3 linked regions of the Macaca fascicularis genome follow. The protein of the gene in region 1 interacts with the protein of each later gene in a pairwise test. Links are inferred from orthologs where the notes say so. Each region holds a gene or a part of one and is shown in the gene's direction. Other genes may lie near its edges.

Region 1 (3,644 bases):
TGGTCTCGATCTCCTGACCTCGTGATGCGCCCGTCTTGGCCTCCCAAAGTGCTGGGATTACAGGCTTGAGCCACCGCGCCCGGCCTTTTTTTTTTTTTTTTTTTGAGACGGAGTTTGGCTCTGTCGCCCAGGCTGGAGTGCAGTGGCGCGATCTTGGCTCGCTGCAGCTTCTGCCTGCCTGGTTCAAGCAGTTCTGCCTCAGCCTTCCTAGTAGCTGGGACTACAGGTGCCCGCCACCACGCCTGGCTAACGTTTGTATTTTTAGTAGAGACAGGATTTCGGCATGTTGGCCAGGCTGTCTTGAACTCTTGACCTCAGATGATCCGCCTGCCTCAGCCTCCCACAGTGCTGGGATTACAGGTGTGAGCCACCACGCCTGGCCCCGCCTCAGCCTTTTGAGTAGCTGAGATAACGGGTGTGCACCACCATGCCCGGTCCCTGCTCTAATATTAGAGTTTTGACCCTTCTCTCATACTGCTTGTGAGTGACGCCAATCCTCTTATGATTGTTGGATGGGATTTTTTTTTCTTTCGGGGATTATGTTAGCCGGAACTTTGGGTTGCAAGAAACAGAAACAGCTCAATTTGGCTGAAACAAAATAGGGTACGTTTTGGTATCCTGACTGAAATGTGGAGAGCCAGGGATGCTGCTGCCTCCAGCTCTGCGCCCCCACTCCCGGCTCCTCTCCGAGAGGCGGCATGCGCACTACCCAGCACCTGTGGAGTGAAGCAGGCACCCTGTTCTGGTGGTGTCTGGGGAAGCCCTGGGATGAACTGTAGTTAGCATGCTTTGCATCACTTCTCTACATGAAGTCAGAGTTGTGTCATCCACGGGAAGGGGAAGGAGTGCGTGGCAGGCAAAGCAGCATCCGTAGCATCTCCTCCTGCGTTGTCCCACATTGATACATGCTCAGTGTTGATGCTGGGATGGGCCCTCCCCGACTCCACAAGTTCCCCCACTGCCCACCACTCCACCAGGCGATGTCATCTGTCCCTGCCGTGGTACAGGTCATTTCAGCTGGTTGTCAATAAGACTCAGGGTCCGGCCAGCCTGTGACTGAATGTTACCTTGAATCCTCTCAGCACCCTTCCTAGTCAGGAGGGGAGATAACTGCCGTTAAGAATAGCTGCTTGGAAAGGGGGTGTTGAGCTGATGCTCCTGGTCAGCCCATTCTCCGTGGGCACGGCAGGATGAGTTGCGCTGAGGCTGCGGCCTTATACAACCCCCTGCTGCAGGAGGTGGCCTGCGGTGGCTCAGGACTGATCAGGCTCGGCCATCTTTGGTTTGCCAACATGGGGTTTTAGAACCCAGCAGGTATTGGGCCTCTTGTGCTGGGTCAGCACCCCAGGCCACAAGCAGAAGTCAGCTAGCCAGTGTGGGCCTGACGTCCTGAATGGCTGGGTGCTGTGCGTCCTTCTGGATCCCAGTTTGTGGCCTCCCTGTGGTCTGGCTCTTTGTGATGGGGTCACCCTGTCTTTGTCAGGCCTGGGCTGTTGCTCTCCTTTCCTGGCACTGTGTCAGCTCAGCCCCCACAAAAGGGGCCTGTTGGCAAAGGGGTGTTTTCCTTTTCTGTCTTCAGAAGCCAGCAGTGTCTGAAACTTGCCTCTGTCTGGTGGGACCTCACTAACATCTTCCCGTGTCCTGATCCTTCCACCTTTTAACCAAGTCTCCTCAGGGTCTGGCCTCAGAGAACAGGGTTGTTGGGGTGGTTTATGCAGCTCCTTTACTCTGTGATGCAGCAGGGCTGGGGCTGCCCACACTTGCCTCTGAGCAGCCAGTGCTCGCTCCAGGGCCTGTTCTGTACAACACGTGTACAGATGAACGTAGGGCAGCTCCCGGCATGGAAGGGGAGGTGGACCGACGGGGCAGTAATGGGCACCTCTGCAGGTCAAGGGCAAGGAGAGGGGCTGCCTTGCTTTGTGCAGGGGCCTGACCTGGGCACTGCCTCCTGCCTACTGTGTGCCTATCAGTCCCAGGTGCTGGGGACAGGGTGACAGATGAGGCGGTGCTTATGGGTGAGTGGGAAGACGAGACACAATATTTACTGTCAGGTGGTGAAAAGCACATGCAGCAGGGATGCGCCAGAGGAGACTGGAATTCGGGCCGGGTGTCCTGGGCAGGATGGCACTCTCTGGACTCATCACATCACCCGCCGTGTGCTGGCCCCATTTGGCCAGAGTGCACTGAAGTGTCTGCTTCTTTCTTTAAGGGAGCAAAGCTTGTATTGGCTTGCAATTCAGCAGCTGCCTACAGACCCTATAGAAGAACAGTTTCCTGTCCTAAATGTGACCCGGTACTATAATGCCAACGGGGATGTAGTGGAAGAGGAGGAGAATTCTTGCACCTACTACGAGTGCCACTACCCTCCCTGCACGGTGATTGAGAAGCAGGTGGGTGTGCTGCAGTGCGGCCTGGTCCTTGGCACCTCTACCCTGTAGCCCAGCCTTGGTTTGGGGTCTTGCCCTCCTACCGCAGGGCCCCATTCCCCGGAGACCACTTGGGCTTTTCCACCAGGGTGGTCTCCCTTTGCCCTTGTGCTGGCCTGACCAGGGCCCAGGCCCTCCAGCCTTGGTACATGGTGTTTTGCTGGGTCCGTCAGATTGTCCGTGCGATGCAGTCTTTGCCCCACACTGCATCCCAGGCATGACGGTGAAGCCACAAGTGTTCTGTATTTCAGCTCCGGGAGTTCAACATCTGTGGGCGCTGCCAGGTGGCCCGGTACTGTGGCTCCCAGTGCCAGCAGAAGGACTGGCCAGCCCACAAGAAGCACTGTCGGGAGAGGAAGCGTCCCTTCCAGCATGAGCTTGAGCCAGAGCGATGACGGGCGGGAGAGCCGCACACACTCGCAGCCCCCGGGCTCTACCCTGGGCACAGCAGAGACAGACTGGTGGTTGAACCTGGAGGTGCCGAAAAAGCCAGCTGCGGGCCCAGGACAACCGCTGTGAGACTCCCGATGTCACAGGCAGTCTGTGTGGTTATAGCGCCCCTCAGTGTTCATCTCCAGCAGAGACAACGAAGGAGGCTCCCACCAGGACGGTTCTCATTATTTATATGTTAATATGTTTGTAAACTCATGTACAGTTTTTTTTGGGGGGAGGCAATGGGAAGGGTAGAAATTACAAATAGAATCATTTGCTGTAATCCTCGAATGGCAAACGGTCAGGCCACGTGTCTAAAAACTGTCCTGTAGCTGAAGCTTCTCCCCTGGGCCACGGGAGCCCCATGGAGCGCGGCCTGCACAGGAGTTGTGTCCACAAAGGCAAAGTAAAGGGGTGGAATCATCCGGCGTCTCGGACATTCTCTGCTCTGCCTCCCTCTTGTGCTGCTGAGGGTGAGGTCATCTTGAGTGGAGCCGAATCCCTGTGAGGGCAGGAGGACGTGCCCTTGCTCCTGGTGGGCAGGAGCAGGTGAACTCAAAACTTCCTGAGTCCAGCAGTGAGCGTGAGTGAGACTCTGTCCTTGTCTTGTGGCAGGACTGGTGCAGGTGCTAAGTCAGCTGCCCACTGGTTCATTGGGAGTGGGATGCTCTAGCCCCTGACATCGGTTAGTTCTTGCCTGATTTATGTGTGAAGTGGCTGGGAGCTCAGCAGTGACAGCTTCTGCCCAGAAGAATCCACAGGGCATGTTCAGCAGGCCTGCTGCCG
Region 2 (3,744 bases), on another chromosome or scaffold:
CCCACACAGCACAAACCAGAAGGATGAGGTGGAGGGGAAGCTAATACTCTCCCCAGCCCCACCCCCTGCACAAACACATTCTACTCCATACCTGCCTTAAACACCCACATCATGATCGGGCCCAGCCTGTTCAGATCCCTGGATTCTAGAAAGCAGTGGGGGGTCCCTAGGGCCTGTGCAGATTCCCTGGGATAGGACTGGTCTGCCTACACCCAACTGGATGTTAAGAATCTCCCTGACTCACAGGTTCAGTGGATTGGGAAGAAAAAAAAAAATTCAAAAACATTTCCCCGAGAACTCAGGAAAGGCCTGGCTAAGCCAGGTCCAGTTGGATCTACAGCCTTGTCCTCTAACTGATAGTGTATGTCACACTTGGCTATGAGGGGGCAGCTTTGGTCCTCCAGCAGCTTCCTCTCTGCTGTGGATGGGTTTAATAATAAACAGCTCGGCCGGGTGTGGTGGCTCACACCTGTAATCCCAGCACTTTTGGAGGCCGAGGTGGGTGGATCACAAGGTCAGGAGTTCGAGACCAGCCTGGCCAATATGGTGAAACCCCGTCTCTACTAAAAATACAAAAATTAGCCGGGCGTGGTGGCACATGCCTCTAGTCCCAGCTGCTCTGGAGGCTGAGGCAGGAGAATTACTTGAACCTTGGAAGCTGAAGTTGCAATGAGCCAAGATCGCGCCCGCTGCATTCCAGCCAGGGCGACACAGCGGGACTCCGTCTCAAAAAACAACAACTCACCGAGGTCTCCAGCAGCCCATACGGCCCAGATACCTAAAGACCTTCCCACATGCTGCCTTGAGTGCCATGGCGGGAGGGAGCCCCTGGGGCCTCCCTGCAATACAGGCCAACTTCCTGTTTGTGCCTGTGGGTAGGATTTTATGAGTCTAAGAGAAGCCCAGTCATGCCCCGTGGGGGGTCAGAACCGGCAGGCCTGCTCACCTGGGCAGACACCTACTCTAGGGAGGGGGCTGTGCTGGTTCTGCTTGGGCAGCCCCACGCTGAGGTGTGTGCATGGTGGGGGCAGGTGGGAGCTGCTCTGGTGAAACTCGAGCCTCCTTTGTCTGATTCCCAGGGGTTTTCCCTATATTTGGGGATTGGGTCAAGAGTGGACCGGGTTGGGCTCCCAACGGAGCAGGGAGGGTGGCAGAGTCAAGTTCTATAGGGCAGCTTAGTTTAAGGCAGCCAGGTAGTCGAATTATCGGTCACGAGATGCTCGCCCCCTTCCCCACGTCAAAAACCAAATCCAGTAAACTGTGAAGGCGAAGGCCAGAGGGGCAGCCTCGGCCACCGTCGAGTCCCTGTGGGGCAGGGAACTGGGTAGGCTGTTGGTGGAGTGCGGGACAGACCACTCCCCTCCCTGGGTGGGGGGCGCGGCCTGAGCCGCCCCGCCCCGCCCCACCAGGTCAGGCCAGGCGGGCGCCCGGAGCCGGGAGCCGGGAGCCCGGAGCCGGGAGCCGGGAGCCCGGAACCCGGAGCCCGGAGTTCGGAGCCCAGAGTTCGGAGCGGGCTAGGGAGGCGGCGTTGTCGCGGCGAGGAGGTGGGCGCGCTGGAGCAGGAGCGGGGCCAGAGCTGGAGCCGAGGCGCAGGTGGCGCTGGGTGAGTGGTGGGGCCGCGGAGGTGCAGGAACTCCTGCTTCCCGCACATCCCCGCTCCTGAACGAACTTTCCGCTTCTGGGGAAGCTAGGGGTGGAGTGAGGAGGGGGGTCCGCACTTGGTGGGTCGCCCGCGAAGAGTCCAAACAGGGAAGCGACACGAAAACGCACGCCGACGGGCCCCAAACACGCGTGCACAGACCCACGCCCGCACTTGGGACACGCGAACACACATGCAGTCGGAAAGGACGCGCCCAGTTTTGTACCCTTGCACTCCCAGGGACAGCGCCAATCAGCCCGCGCGGACCCACAGCGGGCAGGGCACTCTGCGGTCGCGCATTGGGTGCGGGAAAGGGGCAGCCCCGTGACCGCCGACGGGGGCGGGCCGGGTGGGACGCACCCAGAGGTTCCTGCTTCCTGGCCGCCCACAGGTGAAGACGAAGACGTAAACAGGCGCCGGGCACGTGACAGCTCCGCACACCAGTGGCCTGTGCCCCCAACCCCACCACGAGGCCCGTTTGCTTGGTTCCAGGCCGGACGGCGTTCCATTCTCCTCCTGGAGCCGGGATAAGCCCTCTCCCAGGAACCGGAGCACAGCGCCCCCTGGAGCCGGGGCGGAGCAGGAGGGCCGGGCTGCTGGGCAGGGCTGGGGTTAACCTGGGCTCCTGTACGTCCTTCCCCCAGCACATTCTTGGTATCTGCATCCCCGAAGGTTTCGGAGACAGGCCCTTGATGGCAGTGGACAGCTGCCCCCGCCTATTCCCGCCAGCCCAGAGAGCAGCTGCCTGAGCGCCTGCGGGTCCCCTTCCTACCCTCACCTCCACTCCTTGCCGGAGTAGGAGTCTCCTCCCCCGCAGAAAATGCATGAGTGTAAACGCCCCCTCAATACCAGAGTGGGCCTAGACCCCTAGAAAAAGGAGGACGAGCCCCTGCCCCCAGGGAATGAGGGAGTGGGCAGTAGCTCGATGCCTTCTTCCCGCCCCACCCCCTACCCCTACACACACGCTGAGCCCAGCTGCCGCCTGAGCTGGGCAGGCTGCCAGAAAGGGGAGGAGGTTCTCGGTGCCCCAGGAGGCAGGGATCAGGGCAAGGCCAGAGGAGGGGGCTCTGTTGGGGAGAGGGTCTCAGTCTGTTCTTGTGAGGCTGAGGGTCTGGGGTGAGTCTGAGGGTGGCTGGGCTGTGTTTCCCTTTCCAGGGAAAAAGAAAAACAACCCTGTCCATGGAGCTAAAAATAGAGCTGAGAGCCGGCCAGGGCTGTGGCCTGGAAGGGGGGGATGCTCCTTCCTGGGGCCCGGGCGAGCTCTGGCAGGCCTTGGCCCTGCGGGGGAGGGGGTGGTTAGGGGAGAAAGGCTGTCTTTGCCCAGGGATGCAGGCATCAGCTGACCTGACCGGGTCACCGAGACCCCTAGGGGAAAGGCTGTGCGGTAGAATATTTGCGAAGCATGGCTGTAAGAAGTTGTCTGTGTGAGTGACTGTGAATAGAGGCTGTCAATGCGTGAAAGATGGTTAGGAGACTAAGTGCATTTGAGACAGTGACTGGGTGCGAAGGACTGCGGATTGTTGTGGAAGCCTGTGCCCAACAGGCCTGTGACACCGTGTCTGTGTGTGAGTTGGACTGGAAGATTATGGAAAGAAGGAACGCGGACCCACGTGACAGCTGAGACTGCTTGTGGCTGCGTGGTGAGGCTGCATGTGGGAAAGGTCGCGTGGGTGTTAGGGAGACTGTATTGTGTGCGAGAAGGTGAGAATATTTGCGACCTTGAGAAAGTGGAATGTTGTCTGCCGTGCGGCTCCTGTAGGTTTGGGCTGTAGGCTTGGACCGGTTTGCCCCAGTGATTGTTGGGGAGCCAGGGGCCGCTTCTCTCCGAGAAATGACCTCTGTCTTAGCAAGCGGTCCCGAGGGGAGGCTGGGGAGCACGGGGCCGCGCCAGAGGCCGGCCTGGGTTCGCGGGGAAAAGGGCACCGTGCCGGGGAGTGGGGCAGGGCCCGCGTGGTGGGGGGCGGCTGGGTGTGTTCTTCGAGCGGGCCGCCAGGTGGCGCCGCCTCTGCGAAGCCCAGGTTGCCGCCTCCAACCCGCCCCTGGTGGGGCAGGTGCGGACCCAGCCTCGGCCTCCGACTCGCGCTAGGGCGCGGGGCCCCGGCACC
Region 3 (3,744 bases), about 78 Mb from region 1:
GAAATTTGAATTTTAGGTAAGTTTCATATGTCATGTAATAGTATTATTTTAATTTTTTCAACCATTAAAAAATATGAAAACCATTCTTAGCTCAATGGCCAGATAGAGTCAGGTGGCCAACCTGCAGACAATAGTTTGCTGACCTCTATTCTAGAGCCTAATATTGAAGAAAAAAACCTAAAAACCAAAAAAAAAAAAAAAAAACAAAAAACCCTCTGAATATTAAGTGTCTTGCAGTCGAAGATGCCTCTGACTGGCTCATTCACTAAAATGAATGGAAAGAGTTAGGAAGCATAGGAAAGAAAAACAAGCACAAAGATTGTCAATACTTTAAGTTCCCATTTCCCATAAGCAGGAAGCCAAACTGGTTTAAGTCCAAACAACTGGCCAGAGCAGTGTCTTTGGAACTTGCTTCATGACCAGAATCACCTGGCTTCTTGTTGAAGCTAGATTCCTGGACTAGAGGTTTTGATGTAGGGGAGCCTTCTGGTTGGGGGTGTGCTCTCGGGACCAGGTAAGCGGAAGAAACACTATTTCAGGGGGTGTAAAGGAATCTCAAAAGCTGTGGTTCTTAAAGTGTGGTCCCTGGCCCAGCAGAACCAGCATTACTTGAGAGCTTGTAAGAAATAGAAGTCCTTGGCCTACCCTAGAAACAGTGAATCAGAAACTATGGGGGTGGGGTCTGGCAATCTGGTTTTCATCAAGCCAGGTGGTCCTGATGCCCACTAAAATTTGAGCGCGTCTGCTTCAAGGCATCATTACCAGCACCTGGAGAAGTGATTGAGAACCCACCTGAGCAGAGAAGGCCTGGGCTCTCTTAAACCGCTGTGTTCTCCAGTCTGTGGGTGAGAGCAATTCTAACAGACATCTGAAGCCAAAGGCTTAGGTTTCCACAGGAAGATCTGGAAACCCTATTCAAGGCAAGCCTTTTGGAAGTCAAAGGCTGTATTCCCCTAAGAGGGGGCACCATGGATCCTAGAGACAGCAAATGCCACCCAAAGTGATGGTGAGGGAGTTTTCATCTTTTCTGCACGTGTGACCATTTACTGCACCAGAAGCTTTCTAGTGACTTCCACCTTTTCCAGGTTTCTCCAAGGTCCACTGGGGAACCCCCGTCCTGGGCCTGCCAGTGAGTTGCTGGGAGCTTCCCGACCTCACAAACGGCTCTTGTGATGTAATTGTCACCTGAGGTGTGCCCCTCCTGGTCCTGGCGACATCACAGAGGCTACCTGGGCACGGACCCCGCAGCTTCCTGGGGCCCAGTCAGCAGCTCCAGGTGCCTGAGTCTGGGCTGTGGAGGCTGGGGCGGTGGTATGCAGGGTGAGGTCTCCCTGGCTGCTCCCTCGCGCTAGGCCAGCTCCAGGAGGGCAACAGACGACAGGACATTGCGAAAGGGCCACTTAAATTTTCCTTCGAGTAAACAGAACACCTGCCAAGGCCCTCGAGCCTGGGCGTGCCCCAAGCCAGGTGGTTGGGGTCCAGGAGTCGGCTGCGGCTGGCGATGCTCTGAGGGGACGTCAGGGCCTCGGGATGGCCGCTATGAAGACAAAGTGCATCTGTGAACTGTGCTCCTGCGGGTAAGGTGGCTGTGCTCAGGGCAAGGCTGGGGGAGCCTGGGCTTTCAGACTCCCGAGGAAGGGAAGCCTCCCCCAGCTGCTTCATCAGGCGGCATCACGGTGGGTTCGTTCACTTGTCACGTTTTTTAGGCCACAATTTTGTCAACTAGCATTGTGCCCGCAGATGCAACATCAGTTCTGGCAAATGTGTCTGTTTTTGGGCCTTCTGTGCCGCTTCACTTCAGAACTGCAGGAAGGCTGAAATGGGCGTGGCCGGGCAGCCTGCACTCCCTTCCCTGAAGCCCAGAAAGTGTCAGCCAAGGAGGGAGAACACCTGGCCCAGTGGGACCAGTCTTGCTCCTTTTGGGAAAGTGATAGGATGGGAGGAGAATTCCTGTAGTGTAACTGAATTTCTCATTCAGAGAGATTGTTACTTTGTCAAAGAAGTATAAGGTATTAGTAAAACTTGTTTCCACATTGTGTAGAGTTGAATGAGAATAATGAAAACATTACTTTCACAGTCGCCTGGCCTGGCCAGGTCTCTCTTCTCACCTTTAAGGAGCGTGTCTGGGTGGAAGCACAGTAAAGGTGGTCCTGGGGGAAATCATGGGCTTTAGTCAGAGTCCCACGGGCTGACTGGTCTGCTGTCTCTCACATGATCTCTTAGATGTTCCTTCTACCTGCTTCCCAGGACAGCTGGGTTTCTGCTTGGCTGGGGCAGGGAGTGGGCAGCAGAGGAGCAACAGGCAAGAGGGTTCTGAGGTCAGTTCTCCTGGGCTGTCATTAATTGTGGGATCTTGGATTGGTAAATAAACTCTCGGTCACAGGTGCCTCATCTGTACCAACAATACCTACCTCATAGGACTATGATAAGAGTTAAGATCATGTACGTGAGTCCTGGTACATGGACTGTGCGTAATATGTTAGTGTCCTGAAATCTGAAAAAAGGGCAAATATGACACATGCAGATAAAAATGGTATCAGTAGTGTGGATAATTAAAGGGCACTCTACAAACTGGATCAGCAACCTTCTACATCTCTGGCATCAATGCATGGTTCCCAACTCTGGCTGCTGATTAGAATCACACAGGGAGTTTGAAAACTATCAGTTGCTCAGGCCGTTGAATTTATAATCTCAGGGTGGGTCCTGCCAACTGTCTAAAGGTGATTCTGACCATTTGCTAGGACTGGGACTCACTGAACTAGAACATGTACAAATGTGGGTCTTGCTTTTGAGCTTTGTTAAGTGGGGCCGGAGCAGTGTATAGTCTAGGACTACATGTTACCCAGCAAAACCTTTTCTTCTAAGGCCTTCTTTCTTTTATTCATTTTGGAGACAGTGTCCCGCTCTGTTGCCCAGGCTGGAGTGCAGTGGTGCCATCTCGCTTCACTGCAACCTACGCCTCAGGGTTCAAGTGATTCTCCTGCCTCAGCCTCCTGAGTAGATGGGATTACAGGCACACGCCACCATGCCTGGCTAATTTTCGTATTTTTAGTAGAGACAGGGTTTCAACCATATTGTCCAGGCTGGTTTTGAACTCCTGACCTTGGGTGATCTGCCTACCTTGGCCTCCCAAAGTGCTGGGATTACAGGCATGAGCCACTATGCCCTGCCTCTAAGGCCTTCTTTCTCCTGGGACCCTTTACATTACCTTCCTGTGTCCTGCATTGTTCTAGGCATCAGGATTGAAATGTATAAGACATAATCTCCATCTTTGCACAGCGTGCAGTCTAGGTAGGAAGGCAGAATGCTCATTAAGAGATGCAGAGCATATGTAGTGAGAAGTCTCCCTCCTGCCCCTGCAGTAGGGGTATAACTCATTTGGGTGTTCCTTCTCTGACTCTGTTCTCATTGTGTCCCTGCCAAGGAGTCACTTTCCACTGGAAGCAGGGTCTGTTCTTGTGTCTTTTCTCCTTTTCTTCTTCCCTCATCCTGTATTTTCTCCTCCACTTTATGGTTTCAGCCAGTAGTCTCTCCTGTCTTCTGAATTCCAGTTTCATTGTCACCTTCTCAAGTGCTTTGTGATCCATCTGTCTCATTAATCTCAGCTTCAGCAACCTTCAAACATTCTTCTGGTATCTGCCCCATTCATGGTGCCAGCAATCTTCTATTCACCCTGGGTGAAAATTTTGAATCATCTCTTATTCTCCCTCAACCACAGCATTGAATCTCTTTTTTCTTTTCTTT

What was found.
Region 2: the proteins of ZMYND19 (region 1) and LZTS2 interact in binary tests that used the Homo sapiens proteins (3 or more experiments, as listed by UniProt). The two-hybrid records come from large-scale screens. The link is inferred for Macaca fascicularis from reciprocal best matches to the Homo sapiens genes ZMYND19 and LZTS2.
Region 3: the proteins of ZMYND19 (region 1) and SAXO1 interact in binary tests that used the Homo sapiens proteins (3 or more experiments, as listed by UniProt). The two-hybrid records come from large-scale screens. The link is inferred for Macaca fascicularis from reciprocal best matches to the Homo sapiens genes ZMYND19 and SAXO1.

What each region holds. Positions count from the first base shown.
Region 1 is NC_088389.1:1,732,418-1,736,061, forward strand, and holds the end of ZMYND19 (zinc finger MYND domain-containing protein 19), read left to right. Parts: intron 1-2,209; coding exon 2,210-2,390; intron 2,391-2,677; coding exon 2,678-2,821; 3' UTR 2,822-3,281; downstream 3,282-3,644. UniProt on the Homo sapiens protein: May be involved as a regulatory molecule in GPR24/MCH-R1 signaling.
Region 2 is NC_088383.1:109,955,053-109,958,796, forward strand, and holds the start of LZTS2 (leucine zipper putative tumor suppressor 2), read left to right. Parts: upstream 1-1,407; 5' UTR 1,408-1,603; intron 1,604-1,999; exon of another isoform or gene 2,000-2,030; 5' UTR 2,031-2,293; intron 2,294-2,937; exon of another isoform or gene 2,938-3,340; intron 3,341-3,744. UniProt on the Homo sapiens protein: Negative regulator of katanin-mediated microtubule severing and release from the centrosome. Required for central spindle formation and the completion of cytokinesis.
Region 3 is NC_088389.1:79,841,895-79,845,638, forward strand, and holds the start of SAXO1 (stabilizer of axonemal microtubules 1), read left to right. Parts: upstream 1-843; 5' UTR 844-1,530; coding exon 1,531-1,577; intron 1,578-3,744. UniProt on the Homo sapiens protein: May play a role in the regulation of cilium length. Stabilizes microtubules at low temperature.